Linked DNA regions of Drosophila melanogaster. The protein of the gene in region 2 interacts with the protein of the main gene of each other region in a pairwise test. Each region holds a gene or a part of one and is shown on either strand. Other genes may lie near its edges.

Region 1 (3,241 bases), on a different chromosome or scaffold from region 2:
ACGATTCGCAGACGGGAAGCTCAAGTTTGGCCTAATCTCTTATTCGCTCTTGACTTGGCGTCATTTTAGTCATTAAAACAGGTTCAGACTGAGTAATCTGCCAGCCACTTCAGGCCAAAAGCGAAGGGAATGGCCAGATTCTTCCACTACGCTGCCTTAGTTAGTTGCCCTCTAATAAACTGGCAGCGGAAATTTTTAACAAGTTGTTGCCAGTGCACAAAACTGGGCTGTAATTAACGCAGGACAGATGCCGCGCAGGGCAGGGAGGGGGAAATGGGGATTCGGGATGCAGGATGATGGTGGCCAGGAGGAGCTGGTGGAGTAGCATCGTCTGGGTTAGACGAGATTTTGCATATCAGATTGCTGCCCCGGCTCCAGTTTGTCCCTGCCCTGTGATTTAATAATCAGAGCTGGCTGTCAAAACTATCCAGCAACTGCAGCGCTGCGAAAGAATTGTCATATTTGTTGATAAGCTGAATACCCTACAGCAATCTAAAGTTTATATAATAAATATATACAAAATATACCGACAAACCTTAAGTATCCAATTGGATACTTAAATAATACTTAATACTAATACTTAGACTTAACATTTAGATAGTCCAGTAAACTATTATGCTTCGTGACCAATAAAATAACAGTGAGTGGTTTCATGTACTCATAGTTAGGGTATGTTTGGATGAAGGGCTTAGCCAGCTCGTTTCTTTTGCCTCGATTTTTCCTTTCCAGCCCGCCTTTCTCCGAATTGCTTCCGCCCCCTTAGTTTTCCATTCGAAGGGCGGGGGGAATGCAGGCTGCAATGGAAAGCGCGTGCAAAAATGAAATGTGCCAATGTGGCGGATGGGAGATGCGGAATGGGGAATGGGAAATGGAATTCGGTGGTTTGGGGAATGCGGAGGCCAAGTCCTCGGCAATTTGCATAAATTTAGATCAGTGACACATGGCGTCCACTAATGGAGGCAGTGGGAGCAGCCGGAGTGACTGCGACTGCCACTGGGATGGGACATATATCACGGGGGGTATCAGGCCAGTCGACCCGCGGACTCAAACAGTTTGGCAAACATTGCCAATTGGCCTTTAATTAGCGGCTAATCCGTTTGCCACCGCCTGCGAGTGGGCGTGGTCACTGCGAAAGCACCTTCTATGCCATTCCCCACTCGTTTTGGTCCCAATTTCGCATCTCGGCAGGTGGCGATGATGACCCTGCCCGGCAGTCCAATTAAAATGTCGTGTATCTCTGCGGTGGCGCCACTGCCACTGCCACTGCCACTGCCCACAGAAGGTCCATTGGATTCCACTTGGGTGGCCGGCGAAAGTGCCGCTGCGACCACTCTCACCCACTAACCATGAAATGCCAATGGAATCGGAGACTGCGAATTGCCGCTGCGGATTGTCCAGTGGAGCGAAACTTTCAAGCGGAATGCGATATTTTGATGGGAACAAGATGTCCAGCTTTCTGATCTTGTGATCTTGTTTTGATTAAAGTACATTTTTGATACACTTGTAAGATGCCTTAGAGACTTAACTCCACAATCATTCGAGCTCGTTTAGTGTGCTCATTTACACATTACACTAAACTATTTATTGGAAATAATAAACTCTTTTTGAACACATAATGGCTCTGGAAGCGATTTGCGGCATGAATAAAATGCCTTTTATGCGGCGCTTCGATGACTTGCAGTCCGAATGGCAGAAGGAGCAGCTTCGCGAGGCAACCAGTAATTTTGAGAATCCCTACGAACTGATGGCGCCTCCCTTCGAAAGAGTTAGTATAGGTTTCATAATCCAAAAGATCCATCTAAGATTGAAACTCTTCTCAAGCCCGCTGAAAATCTGCCCAAGATCCTGTCGCACTGTGGCATTCGCATGGATTTCGATCACGGCACCACCACTCTGGGTTTCAAGTATCGCGGAGGAGTGATTCTGTGTGCTGATTCTAGGGCCACCTCTGGCCAGTATATTGGATCCCAGACGATGAGGAAAATAGTCGAGCTGAACGACTATATGCTGGGCACATTGGCCGGCGGAGCCGCCGATTGCGTCTACTGGGATCGGGTTTTGGCTAAGGAGTGTCGCCTGCACCAGCTGCGCTATCGGAAACGCATGACCGTGGACACGGCTGCCCGGATCATCTGCAACATATCCACGGAGTACAAGGGCATGGGTCTGGTGATGGGCATGATGCTGGCCGGCTTCGACGACGAGGGACCCAAGCTGATTTACGTGGACTCGGAGGGCATGAGATCCCATGGTCAAGTCTTCTCCGTGGGCAGCGGTTCTCCATATGCGCTCGGCGTATTGGACACTGGGTACCGCTATGATCTCTCCGATCAGGAGGCCTATGACCTGGCCAGGCGAGCGATTTACCATGCGACCAGTAAGGATGCCTATTCTGGTGGAATCGTGCGTCTCTACCACATTCATTCGGAGGGCTGGCGAAATATCTGCAATACGGACTGCTCCGATCTCCATGACTCGTATTGCGCATCTGGGTGTCCGGGGAACGAGAAGGATGTAGGAAACGTAGGCGATCCCGACAATGATAAGCCCTGTTCCAGTGGCTGGACGAAGAAGAATATCACAGCAGACAATTTGCAGACTAAGCTGGCAACGGTATGAAAATTTGGAAATTATTGGAGCAACATTAGCAAAAATTTCTGTGGAAGTAAAACTTCTGTCGTGCAAAACGTATAAAGTGTTAGTGTTTATGGTAATGGGAATTTGTGGCAGTGAAGAAGTCCGGAATTTATCGTGAGAATAGTTTTCCGAACCGTATGCTGGATTGTTCTATCTAATCCTCTTCAGTTCTAAAAGCACACATACAGATACATTTCAAAGTTTTAGCCACTAATAATGAAAACAAGAGCTGCATACATACAAATGCCTTTCGCCCCGCACTCGCCACACTTTAAAAGCTGTGCTTCTATCTAATTTTTTTCACTCCTCAAACTCCCCTCTCTTCCATCCTCCACTGCGGAAAATATACGAGCAACTTTCGCTCGCTAAACGAACTTTTCCTATAAATCAAAATAATAACTTCTAAGCTCGCAATGACTTTCCCCAAATGGGCGTGCCGCACACAAAATACGGCCAACGAAATGTTCGCCGAAATGTTGCACTCCGTGTCTTTGGGTTGTCATCAACAAATGTTGCAGATGCCACTGCCTGGAGACTCCGTCCGGGGGATCTGCTCCTCACTGCCCATCCCCTCCCCCTCCCCCGCCGGAAAAGCGCAACCGCA
Region 2 (3,272 bases):
AGACGGGAGGAGCAGCAGATGTTTGGCATTCAATTCCTCCAGCTACCGTGTAATTGCCGCACGTTTTGGCGATTATGTTGCTTAGGCTAGGCCTTCGTCTCCCTTTGGCATACTGCAGTTTCCTTAATTGCTTTCGAACCCCCCATTTTCCCGGGTCCTCAATTGCACGATTTCAGTCTTAGCCCCCAACATTGGCCAGAATGTCTGGGTCGGGGTCTCTGTATTTATTGACTGTCGTTTTATCAACGCTTAGTTTATTATTTGTTTAATTTACTGCACACCTTCGCCTGCATTTCGACACATGAAAGGCCATTGATAATTTTCCTGGAGTTGAATGGCTGTGGGGTTTTACAATCCAAGGCCCCGATTTCGTCACCGATCATAAAGTACCCACTTTGGCGATATCAAAAGCCAGAAGTGTATTAAGTTAGTCTATAAGAGTTATTATGAAATCTGATTCATTAAACGGTAAGAGAGTAGATCTCAATCTCTAGACATTATTTAAAAGTCTAACATGTGTAAAATCATGATTACAGTTTTATTTATAATATTTTGCAGTTTTCATATTTCATACTTCAACACTTAGATACCGGAAGTTTCCTTGATCCAATCGCGATAGTAAGTGATACGGGTGAAAGCAGCTGGTGCGCCAGACTCGCAACCATCAGCGGATCCAAAGGAGGTGGCACCGATGAGGACACCATCGAGAGCCAATGGGCCGCCGGAATCACCCTGGCAGGTGGAGGCCTTGTTGGTGGTGTCAACGCAGAGGACCCTGCTGGTCACGATCAGGCTTCCGAAGGTTTCCTGGCATTTGGAGTTGGAGATGATGGTAAGGTCCACGTACTGCAGATCGCGAGACACGGCGGTGGCTTGGTCGGAGGTGAGACCCCATCCGGAGGCAACAGCGGTCTTTCCCTCGTAGGTGGAGTAGCTGTTGGAGACGGCGGGCAGGCTGATCTTGTTCACGGTAGCCGAGAAGGACACGGACGAAGTCTGGATCAGGGAGATGTCGTTGCGGATGGTCAAAGCCAGGTAGCTTTCGTGCTGCCTAAACTTTGAGCTGCTGACGACTTGGGTGAACTCGGGGCTAGTACGGACAGTGGCACCGTAGTAGATGGTCACGGAGGCGGCACTATATTGGAAATACTCTCATTAGACCTGGTCTTGAAGGACGGAAAATGCACTTACCCGTCGGTACAGTGAGCAGCAGTCAGCACCCACTCGTTTCCGATGATGGAGCCACCGCACCACCAACTGCCAGCAGAGCTGGAGAAACTAAGTCCCACCTGGTAGGGGAACTGGCCGGCAACGGCGTCCTTGCCGTTGGTGATGCGACCGGTGATGGATGGGGTCGAGACCCTGTCACGGGGATGTACAGGGGCAATATTGGGCAGGAGCCCAGCGGAGGCGGAGGCCAGAGCCAGAACCAAAACTACGAAAACCTTCATGCTGATGGTTGCTCAAACTATGAGTGATTTTCCCTTTCCAACACGGCCTCTTTTATACCCAGACTGAGAAATCTTATCTGCATAGATGGCTGGGCAAGTCCACTTAAATGTTCTGATTAAGTGTCGCAAAAATTTTTTTAAGTTTATTATATGGCGCTTTTGTAAAATTTTTCTATTTGATAAGATATTAATGTAGCTACTGGCATTTATTTCTTCATCACAAATTAGGGACTTTCAAATTGTGCGAATAAAAGATAATTACTTTGGTAGCATTACCACTTTTGTGCTTTTGTTTTGCTAGTTGGGATTTGCTTGGTTAAAAACAATTATTTATTACTTATCAATATTTCTTTATCTTAACTGCCTATTTACGTTGTAACTTAAAGAGTAAGCCATAAAGAATAGGACTTTATAAAAAGATTCCAAAGCAAACATTTGCTTTTATTTTATTTAATTCTTGGTAAATTGGAAGCAATATTGCCATAATGATGTAAGGTACAGTGGTTTTAAGACCTTTTTAAGCCTATTTAATGGTTAAAGATTTACAATTCTGTTGTTTCGCTGCTGATTTCAAAGACAATATAAAATGATCCTTAATACCAGAAATTGCTCACTCTTTAAAGTGTATTCGATCCAGATGAAGGTTTTTGCTGTCTTGGTCTTGGCAATTGCCACAGTTTCTGCTGATATCCTGCGCCAGGACACTCCAGTACATCCCCGTGATAGCTCAGCTGTTCCGTCCATAGATGGTCGCATTACCAATGGAAACAAGGCAGCTGCTAACCAGTTTCCCTACCAGGTGGGACTCAGTTTTAAAAGCTCGGCTGGCAGTTGGTGGTGCGGTGGTTCAATAATAGCGAATACATGGGTACTAACTGCTGCTCATTGCACCAAAGGGTGAGTAATTTTTTTAAAAAATCGATAATCGATTTAAGATTTATTCTGTTAGAGCCTCTTCCGTGACCATCTACTATGGGTCCACCGTTCGCACTAGTGCCAAACTGAAGAAAAAGGTCTCCAGCTCCAAGTTTGTGCAGCATGCCGGCTACAATGCGGCTACTTTGCGCAACGACATCTCCCTGATCAAGACTCCATCCGTCACTTTTACGGTTTCCATAAATAAGATTGCCCTGCCCGCCATCGCCAGCAGCTACTCCACCTACGCCGGACAGACTGCAGTGGCTTCCGGATGGGGCAGGACCTCCGATTCCAGCATTGCCGTCGCCACGAACCTTCAATACGCACAATTTCAGGTCATTACCAATGCTGTGTGTCAGAAGACCTTTGGGTCATCTGTGGTCACCAGTGGAGTTATCTGCGTGGAGTCCATCAACAAGAAGTCGACCTGTCAGGGCGATTCTGGCGGTCCGTTGGCTTTGAACAATAGACTAATTGGTGTGACCTCGTTTGTGTCCTCCAAGGGATGTGAGAAAAATGCGCCTGCTGGTTTCACCCGCGTCACCAGCTATCTGGATTGGATCAAGAACCAGTCCGGTGTGTTTTATTAGCCGTAAAGCCACGCAGTCCAGTTTTCATATTCCTAAAAAGCATTGCCTATTTTTGAGCGGCTATAGGAATGAACCCAACAGCGCAATCTGAATTGTAACTGATTATGTTTTTTATGTTGGACATACCCTTATCTTTTTCTTATCTAAAACAAATATTTTGAGTATTAATTACGTAATAAGGAACCTTTTTATTCATTCCATACAAGAAAATACCAAGAATTTTAGAACGTTTTTTTATTATTGTTAAAAATATTAGAAAATGGCCTTGATCCAGCCCACATCCTGCCCAACCTGGCAGCCATCGGGTGAGCCA
Region 3 (2,865 bases), on a different chromosome or scaffold from region 2:
GAGAGCGAACTCCTACCGGACCTTAAGCCCGTGGAAGGAACAGCTCCGCGCTTCACTACCGTACCCCTGCGTGTTCCACAAGATGCCCTGCCCGCTGATGTTTCCCGCCATGCCTTGGACTGCATCGATGCTGTTGACAAACTGCTCGAAGGCTTTGAAACGGCCGATGGACTCATTGAGGAACTGCAGCTGGCTTACGCATTTTTCCTAGTGGGCTACTCTGTGGAGTCTCTGGCCCACTGGCGCAAGCTTTTGGGCTTGCTGGCTCACTCGCAAACGGCGGTCACCAAGCACAAGTTAACGTACATGAAATACAGCGAGGTTTTGGCCCACCAGCTGCCCCATCTGCCCGAGGAGCTGATGGTGCCTGGTCCGCATAACACCGTCTACAAAGATGTACGCGAACTGCTGGTCAATCTGCATGCGGGCGGCTTAAGTGTCAGCGCTGAGCGGCTAACTAAGCGGCTGGAGAAAAAATTGGGATGGGAATTCGAGGGCCTGCTAGACGAGGATCCCGAGGACCAGCCTGTAGTCATCGAACTTCCGGAAGCCTAGGAGAAGGGCGCTACGCATGTGAAGTGTAATTCATATATTTGTAATACAATGGACTGAAACTGATCTATATTGATTTCTACTTTAACGCAGCGAATGCTGGGTGCGCAAGTAATTCCACAGATCCCGAGCCGTGCGGATGCTGACCATGAATTGGCACAACTTGGTCTCGATCAGGCAGAGAATCAAGAACTTGGCCCGCTTGTCCTTTAGCAGGGACTGCAAGGAGTATGGCATGGACATGGGTTTTCTGTAGCCATAAACGGCGCCACACCATCACTCACCTCCTCGTTGTTCTCGGGACCATTCTCCACCACCGTCCAGAGTTCCTCCGACTCCAGATACGCCCGCACCGTCATCGACCAGGCCTTGTAGTTGTCCAAACCTTTGAGCTTCTCAATTTGCAGCTGCAGTGCCATCTCCGAGACTCGAGCAACGTTTCGCAACTAAACCGCATTCGGGCCCTTTGCTGTTTCCTTACCTTCGCCTCTTCCAGCTGTTGTCCAGATTTTTAAATATAGATATCTTAGTATTTGTATCTGTATGCACACGGCTTTTCCATTGTGCACATCAGCAAACTGAAAACAATGGCCACTAGACCCACTTTTCGTGTTGCTTCTGGCCCAGCTATACATTCAGCTTAAGTGGACACTTCTGATTTGACGCAGAAGCGCTGTCGCTTTATGTGCCTGCCTGCTTGTATTTTCCGATGACCACAGAATTTAGTTTGACATATATTTCTTCTGAGCAGCAGCAGTGCGCCTTCTAAGCTCGCATCTTTTGGATGCATTGACAGGTACGAATCTTCATTTTCTGTGGCTAAGTCTTGGTTAATAATTAAAAACTGAATGTGGGATTGATCTCGATTCGAAGCTATGCTTGATTAGCAAATGATAATGATAGAAGAAAATGTGTTTGAAAATCTTTATTGAAAACTTCATTTAAAAACTATGTAAAATTTCTCTATCATACTGAACGCGTGAAATCAAGAAAGATGCATGATTGAAAGGATCACTTAAAATAAATCCGTCAAAATGTAAAACAAACTAGTTTTATTGTTATTTATGGTCGACTTCCAAAAAAAAAACTAATAAACTAATAGAGAAACTGCGTGCCGATAAGGAAAACATTCGGTTCCTTTCTATATTTTCAATCTTTCTATGATTGACTGTGACCATTTAAACAAGCCCATAAAAACACGAGCCCCAAACTCAATTAATAATAAATTGTGTTGCCCAATTGTTGTTTTGTTTTTATGATTTTTATTTGAAATGAATACGAATGTCAGTTTTAGCTGCTGGTTTCTTGTATTGCTGTTGTTGTTACGTTCAAGAATGTGGCTGTTGTTTTTGCTGCCTCGGCTGATTTATGCTTAATTAACTTTCTGCACGGGCCTTTTCTATTCAGCGACTGCAAAATATTAGTCTGCCTTCTTTCCTCATTTATTAAATTTATTAAAAAAAAAAAAAAACAACCAAAAGCGAAAAACAAAAACCATGCGAAAGAGCTGCGAATAAGCTCGTGCGAAAATTCTCCCGTAGCTTCTGCACAGCTCATCATTCTATTTTCCTTCGCTAATCACGCAAACACGCTACAGATAACTCTGCCGATGATGGTGTTGTTCTTGTGGAGAATCTTTGGGTTTACTTGACTTCGGGGGCTAAAAATCAATGTGGTTTTGGACTGTCTGTCGGGGAGTTTTGGAATCGGAATCTCTGGAGAGATGGTTAGTTGGGTGGTGGGGCGAAAAGTTCGAAATCTCTACAAATTACATAAGTGGTAGGCATAGAAAATATACAAGTATATATGTATACAATATATATATATATATATACGTATATATATGTACCGTTGTTTTGTTTTGTATTCTTTTTGTTTCTTGTATTTAGCAACTACAAATACTTTTCTATATTATTAATATGTTTCTTTGTTGCGCAAGGTAAGAGATGATGAAGAAAATTGTTTGCGATTGCGATGGAGAACTCAAAACGAAAGGCGAAAAACAGAAATCCACCAAATTCCCGTTCGATTGTTCGGTTTCGTTTCATGTGATTTGACCATGCATGGGTGTGTGAGTGTGAATATGAGTGCGAGTGTGAGAGAGCAAGGAAACGCTAAGAGAAAACAAACGGCTCGTATGCGTAATATGGGTGTCTGTGTGGGTGGTGGGTGTGTGTTAGTCTGCGCGTGTGTGTGTGTGTCTGTGAGGGTGTGTCGGTGTTATTGAACAGTACACTTACATACATACAAATTTAAGCTTAAGAATTCGTTTTGAATTTCGCTTAACTAACATTCCTTTTTCTCATTTAATAT
Region 4 (3,785 bases), on a different chromosome or scaffold from region 2:
CATAAATACATAGATATATACATATACATATAAAGTCAGATACTTAGATTTATACATTAATTCTACTGCACAGAATAAAATTGATCAATGAAATTATTATGTAGGCAATAAGTGCGGTAATTATTTATTAAGTCAACTTGTTTTTTTTTTTGCTGAAAATACCTTATAGTTTTTCTCTGTGCACTGGACATTTTCTTGTTTGGTTTCGTTTTCGTTTCTTAATTGCCCTCGGCTCGAGAACCTCGCCAAAAATGTGTTAAAAATGCAAAAATATGTCCAGATCCAATATGTATATATATTTATATATATATAACCCCAGGGTGGCGAGGGGCCGCCCTGCACTTGTATGTTTTATTGCCCGAAACGCTTTGTGGTAAATTTATTGCCAAATTGTCGGCGACTTTCGAAAAATCGCGAAATCTTCGCAACGAACTCTGGTAAGGGGGGCTGGAGGCGCGAAGGGGCGTGGACAGCAATAAAAAACAGATCCACAAAACAGCTACAAACAACTGGAAACATCTTCAATAATAAATTCATAATTTTTCGCTGCTTTGCCTTAATAAATTTTTATTATTTTTTAATCCCATTTCATTGAACACAACAAAAATGTGGACAGAAATTAAATTCATAATAATATAATACGAGTAGTCGGGGGCACAAAATTAAAAAAAAAAAATAATAAAATAAGGTATAAAAAACGATGTAGGGAGCCAATAATAATAATGGGCATGGTGTGCAATTACGAACTCTCAGTAGCGGCCCCTACGATTTGTCCCCGCCCCCCTGGGCGTGGTCGTCGTGATGGAGGGGTTACCATGGGCATCCAGACGGGATTGAAACTGAGATTGGAACTGGGAACTGGAGACGCCATCAGATGCCGCGGATGCCGCAGATGCCTCGCTGACCATGGGCACCTCGATGGAACGCGGCAGATTGGGATATTCCTGCGGCGTGATCGCTGTGGGCGTAGCAAAATAATATAATTTAATATAAACCAGATTCGAGTGGAGGGCTATCTGTGCTCTTGGGCTGAAAATAATCGACGGGTGTTTGCGTGTCTTATTAATTTTCGCTGAAAGAGTTGCGATAATGGTTGGCTCGTTTACATTAATCATTTCACTCGTGTTCAAAAAGAGCCGTCATTCGTGTGCTCTCACTCGAAATAATCGATCTAGTGTATCAAATTATATAAAAAAAAGGGTAACAAAGTACACAAATCATATCCTTCCTATGAAAATAATTTGCTTATTTATGAATATTTTAGTGTTTAATACATAAAATATTTCTAAGAATGAAAGCCCCTTGTCATCACTTTGAAATTCTTTGTGATCACTTCACACCGAAAACCGCAATTCCGATACTTACACTGATTCTGTCGATAGCCAAACTGATCGGCATTGTAGAAGACGGTGATGTAACGCCCGTCGGTCATCCGATAGGCATAGTAGCCCACAACCATCAGGGTCTTTACATCGTTGATCTTAACGAAATATCCACGTTCATAGCGAGCGGTTCCATCGTCCAACTCGAATCGATACTCGTAGCTGCCGTCGGGATATCGGTTATCGAATCGATCTAGTAATCGCGCACTGGGCGCCGACTCTTTGATCTGCTGGGCGGAAATGAGGGTGGCGCTCAGCAGGAAGATGGCGAACAGGATCGAACCGGAAGTGGCCATTTTAACTCGGATCGGTGTGAATGTGTGTGTGGATATGTGGATGTAATGTGATTTATGGGTGGTGGTGGGATGGATGTGTGGGATGTTTGGGCTACGCAGGTGGATGGTGTGTGTGCTGTCGCGCGATGTTTTCTTAGCGGTTTAATTCGGAAACAGTGTAACATTGGCTTTTTATAGTCGACATCGAGAAGGCAGCGAGGCGAGCAGCGCAGTCGGCGGCGACCGAGGCAGCGAAGATCTTTAGCCTGAGCTGAAGCGGGATATCCGAAAGGGTGACTGAGAGCCGAGTACACGGCTAGAAAAGGAGTTGCGCCATTTAACCATTAAAAATCCTAGCAATAAGCCAGCTAACTGCATTACAAAATAATTAGAAGCTTAAGACTTATGAGGCTCGTTTATATTTTATTTGTATCTATCAGAAGTCATGAAATATTTTGATAAAATCTATATATATATATTTGTAGAATATAATGCAGAAATCGTACCTTTTTCGCTCAGTGCACGCACATCTCTCTGAGCCATTGCCGTCAAAAATTCTCGACGCTTAATCATATAAAAAAAATCTTAATTTCATCTACTTACACACATGCTTATCGGTGTGCCCAGCTCAATGGGTTAAAGGGGGCGGTTGGGGCGGGGCAGGGGCTGGACAGGTTGCTAACTGGGCAATTTGGTTGCGCCTCTTTTGTGTGTTTGCTTTTGGCGCTGTTCGCACGGCCGCCAAATTGCTCACAATGGGTTAACCAGTGGGTTTCGATAATGTTGGCATTCCGGGGGTTAAGGTGGAAAGGGGGCGGATGTGGCGGAAAGGGCGTGGGGCTAAGCAATCACAGTTCGAAACTGATACGGCAGACATAATCGATTTGCAGCCAATTGATGGATGGCCAGGGAATCGCTATAAAGTGCCTTTTGTGCTAACCGTTGAGAATGGCTGTTCAACAACTAATAGGCAATTAAATTCATGTCTTTATTAGGCTGTAGAAAATATGGTTGTTTTAATTTGTGAAAACACTTTAGATATATGTATATAAAGACTGAAGTGAGTAGTAGGTATCTTTATCCGTCGAATCTATATTGCTGGTTTCTATGCTAAATATACTATTATATTAAAGCTAATAAGCTGGTGTAATGATTTATAAAAATTGTATAACATTAAGCTAAATATATTTATGGTTTAAGACATAAAGATATAAGGGAAGCGGATCCTTAGATTGCAGCCCACGGTGCTGGGCAGCAGCTAAAAATACTACAATTCTTGCACCCTACAATTTGGCCAGCCAGTACGTGCCGCCTGTCATCGTTAAGCTGAAAGGCAGCGTATTCCGAGCGGTGGAGATGCAACACCAGGGGCGGCACATGATCGGTGGGGGGGGGGGGGGGTGCGTAGGGGAAGGAAGATATGGAGCAGCAGGAGCATCAGGAGGAGCGAACGAGGCGAGCGTCCTGTGGCCAATTAGGGCTAATTTATGATTTCAATCATTTCTTAATTGCATTTAATGTGCAGCGATTTAGCGAACACAGGCCTGGAATCTGGCCAGCTGAATGCCAGGGGCGCACAGGGGGTTGGGGAAATGGACCCACTTGGTCAGTCGGCCAAAGTTAATGATGTGCAATTGAGCCGGGGGGTTCGGGCAGCCGAGAAAGCCCATGAAGCCCAGGAAACGCAGGAGCTCAGGGACAGCGAAACTTATTGGTTAGTGTTGCTCGGGGGCAGCTGTCAATATGTCGACACGGACTTATCGCCGTTTAATTAATTTGCGCACACCTCAAAGGTCACGCCGGTGCATTAAGGCCCAGTCACCTCTTAAGCAGATAGCATTTATGAAATAATTTAATATTTTTTGCTTCTTATTTTTAGCCACATTGTTTTGCATTTTTCGCGGCATCCGGCGCAGATTTATGGCCAAGTCGCAGTGACAAGCGCAGTCACAGTCGCTCAGTCAGTCGGGCAGTCAAGCTGGCAGTCAGTTTGTCACTGTGGCAGTTTGCCACTCTGTCAGTTAGTCACTCTGTCAGCTTGTCACTTTGTCAGTGCGTCAGTTGGGCGGGCAGAAGAGGCGCGCTAAACTTGCCAAAGTGGCAACAGATACATCAGGCACTTCCTTCA

The links.
Region 1: the proteins of yip7 (region 2) and Prosbeta5R1 interact in a two-hybrid assay, tested with the Drosophila melanogaster proteins (one large-scale study listed by BioGRID).
Region 3: the proteins of yip7 (region 2) and CG18598 interact in a two-hybrid assay, tested with the Drosophila melanogaster proteins (one large-scale study listed by BioGRID).
Region 4: the proteins of yip7 (region 2) and Cpr12A interact in a two-hybrid assay, tested with the Drosophila melanogaster proteins (one large-scale study listed by BioGRID).

What each region holds. Positions count from the first base shown.
Region 1 is NT_033778.4:23,308,103-23,311,343, reverse strand, and holds Prosbeta5R1 (proteasome beta5 subunit-related 1), read left to right. Parts: upstream 1-1,527; 5' UTR 1,528-1,615; coding exon 1,616-1,765; intron 1,766-1,821; coding exon 1,822-2,619; 3' UTR 2,620-2,690; downstream 2,691-3,241.
Region 2 is NT_037436.4:6,033,422-6,036,693, reverse strand, and holds yip7 (yippee interacting protein 7), read right to left. Parts: upstream 1,479-3,272; 5' UTR 1,452-1,478; coding exon 1,192-1,451; intron 1,136-1,191; coding exon 583-1,135; 3' UTR 519-582; downstream 1-518. Other genes in the region: CG10477 (uncharacterized protein), read left to right, coding at 2,089-2,348, 2,401-2,959.
Region 3 is NT_033777.3:18,249,250-18,252,114, reverse strand, and holds CG18598 (uncharacterized protein), read right to left. Parts: upstream 1,001-2,865; 5' UTR 972-1,000; coding exon 837-971; exon of another isoform or gene 772-836; coding exon 637-771; 3' UTR 576-636; downstream 1-575. Other genes in the region: CG12320 (uncharacterized protein), read left to right, coding at 1-555.
Region 4 is NC_004354.4:13,541,667-13,545,451, reverse strand, and holds Cpr12A (cuticular protein 12A), read right to left. Parts: upstream 1,810-3,785; 5' UTR 1,679-1,809; coding exon 1,366-1,678; intron 959-1,365; coding exon 750-958; 3' UTR 545-749; downstream 1-544.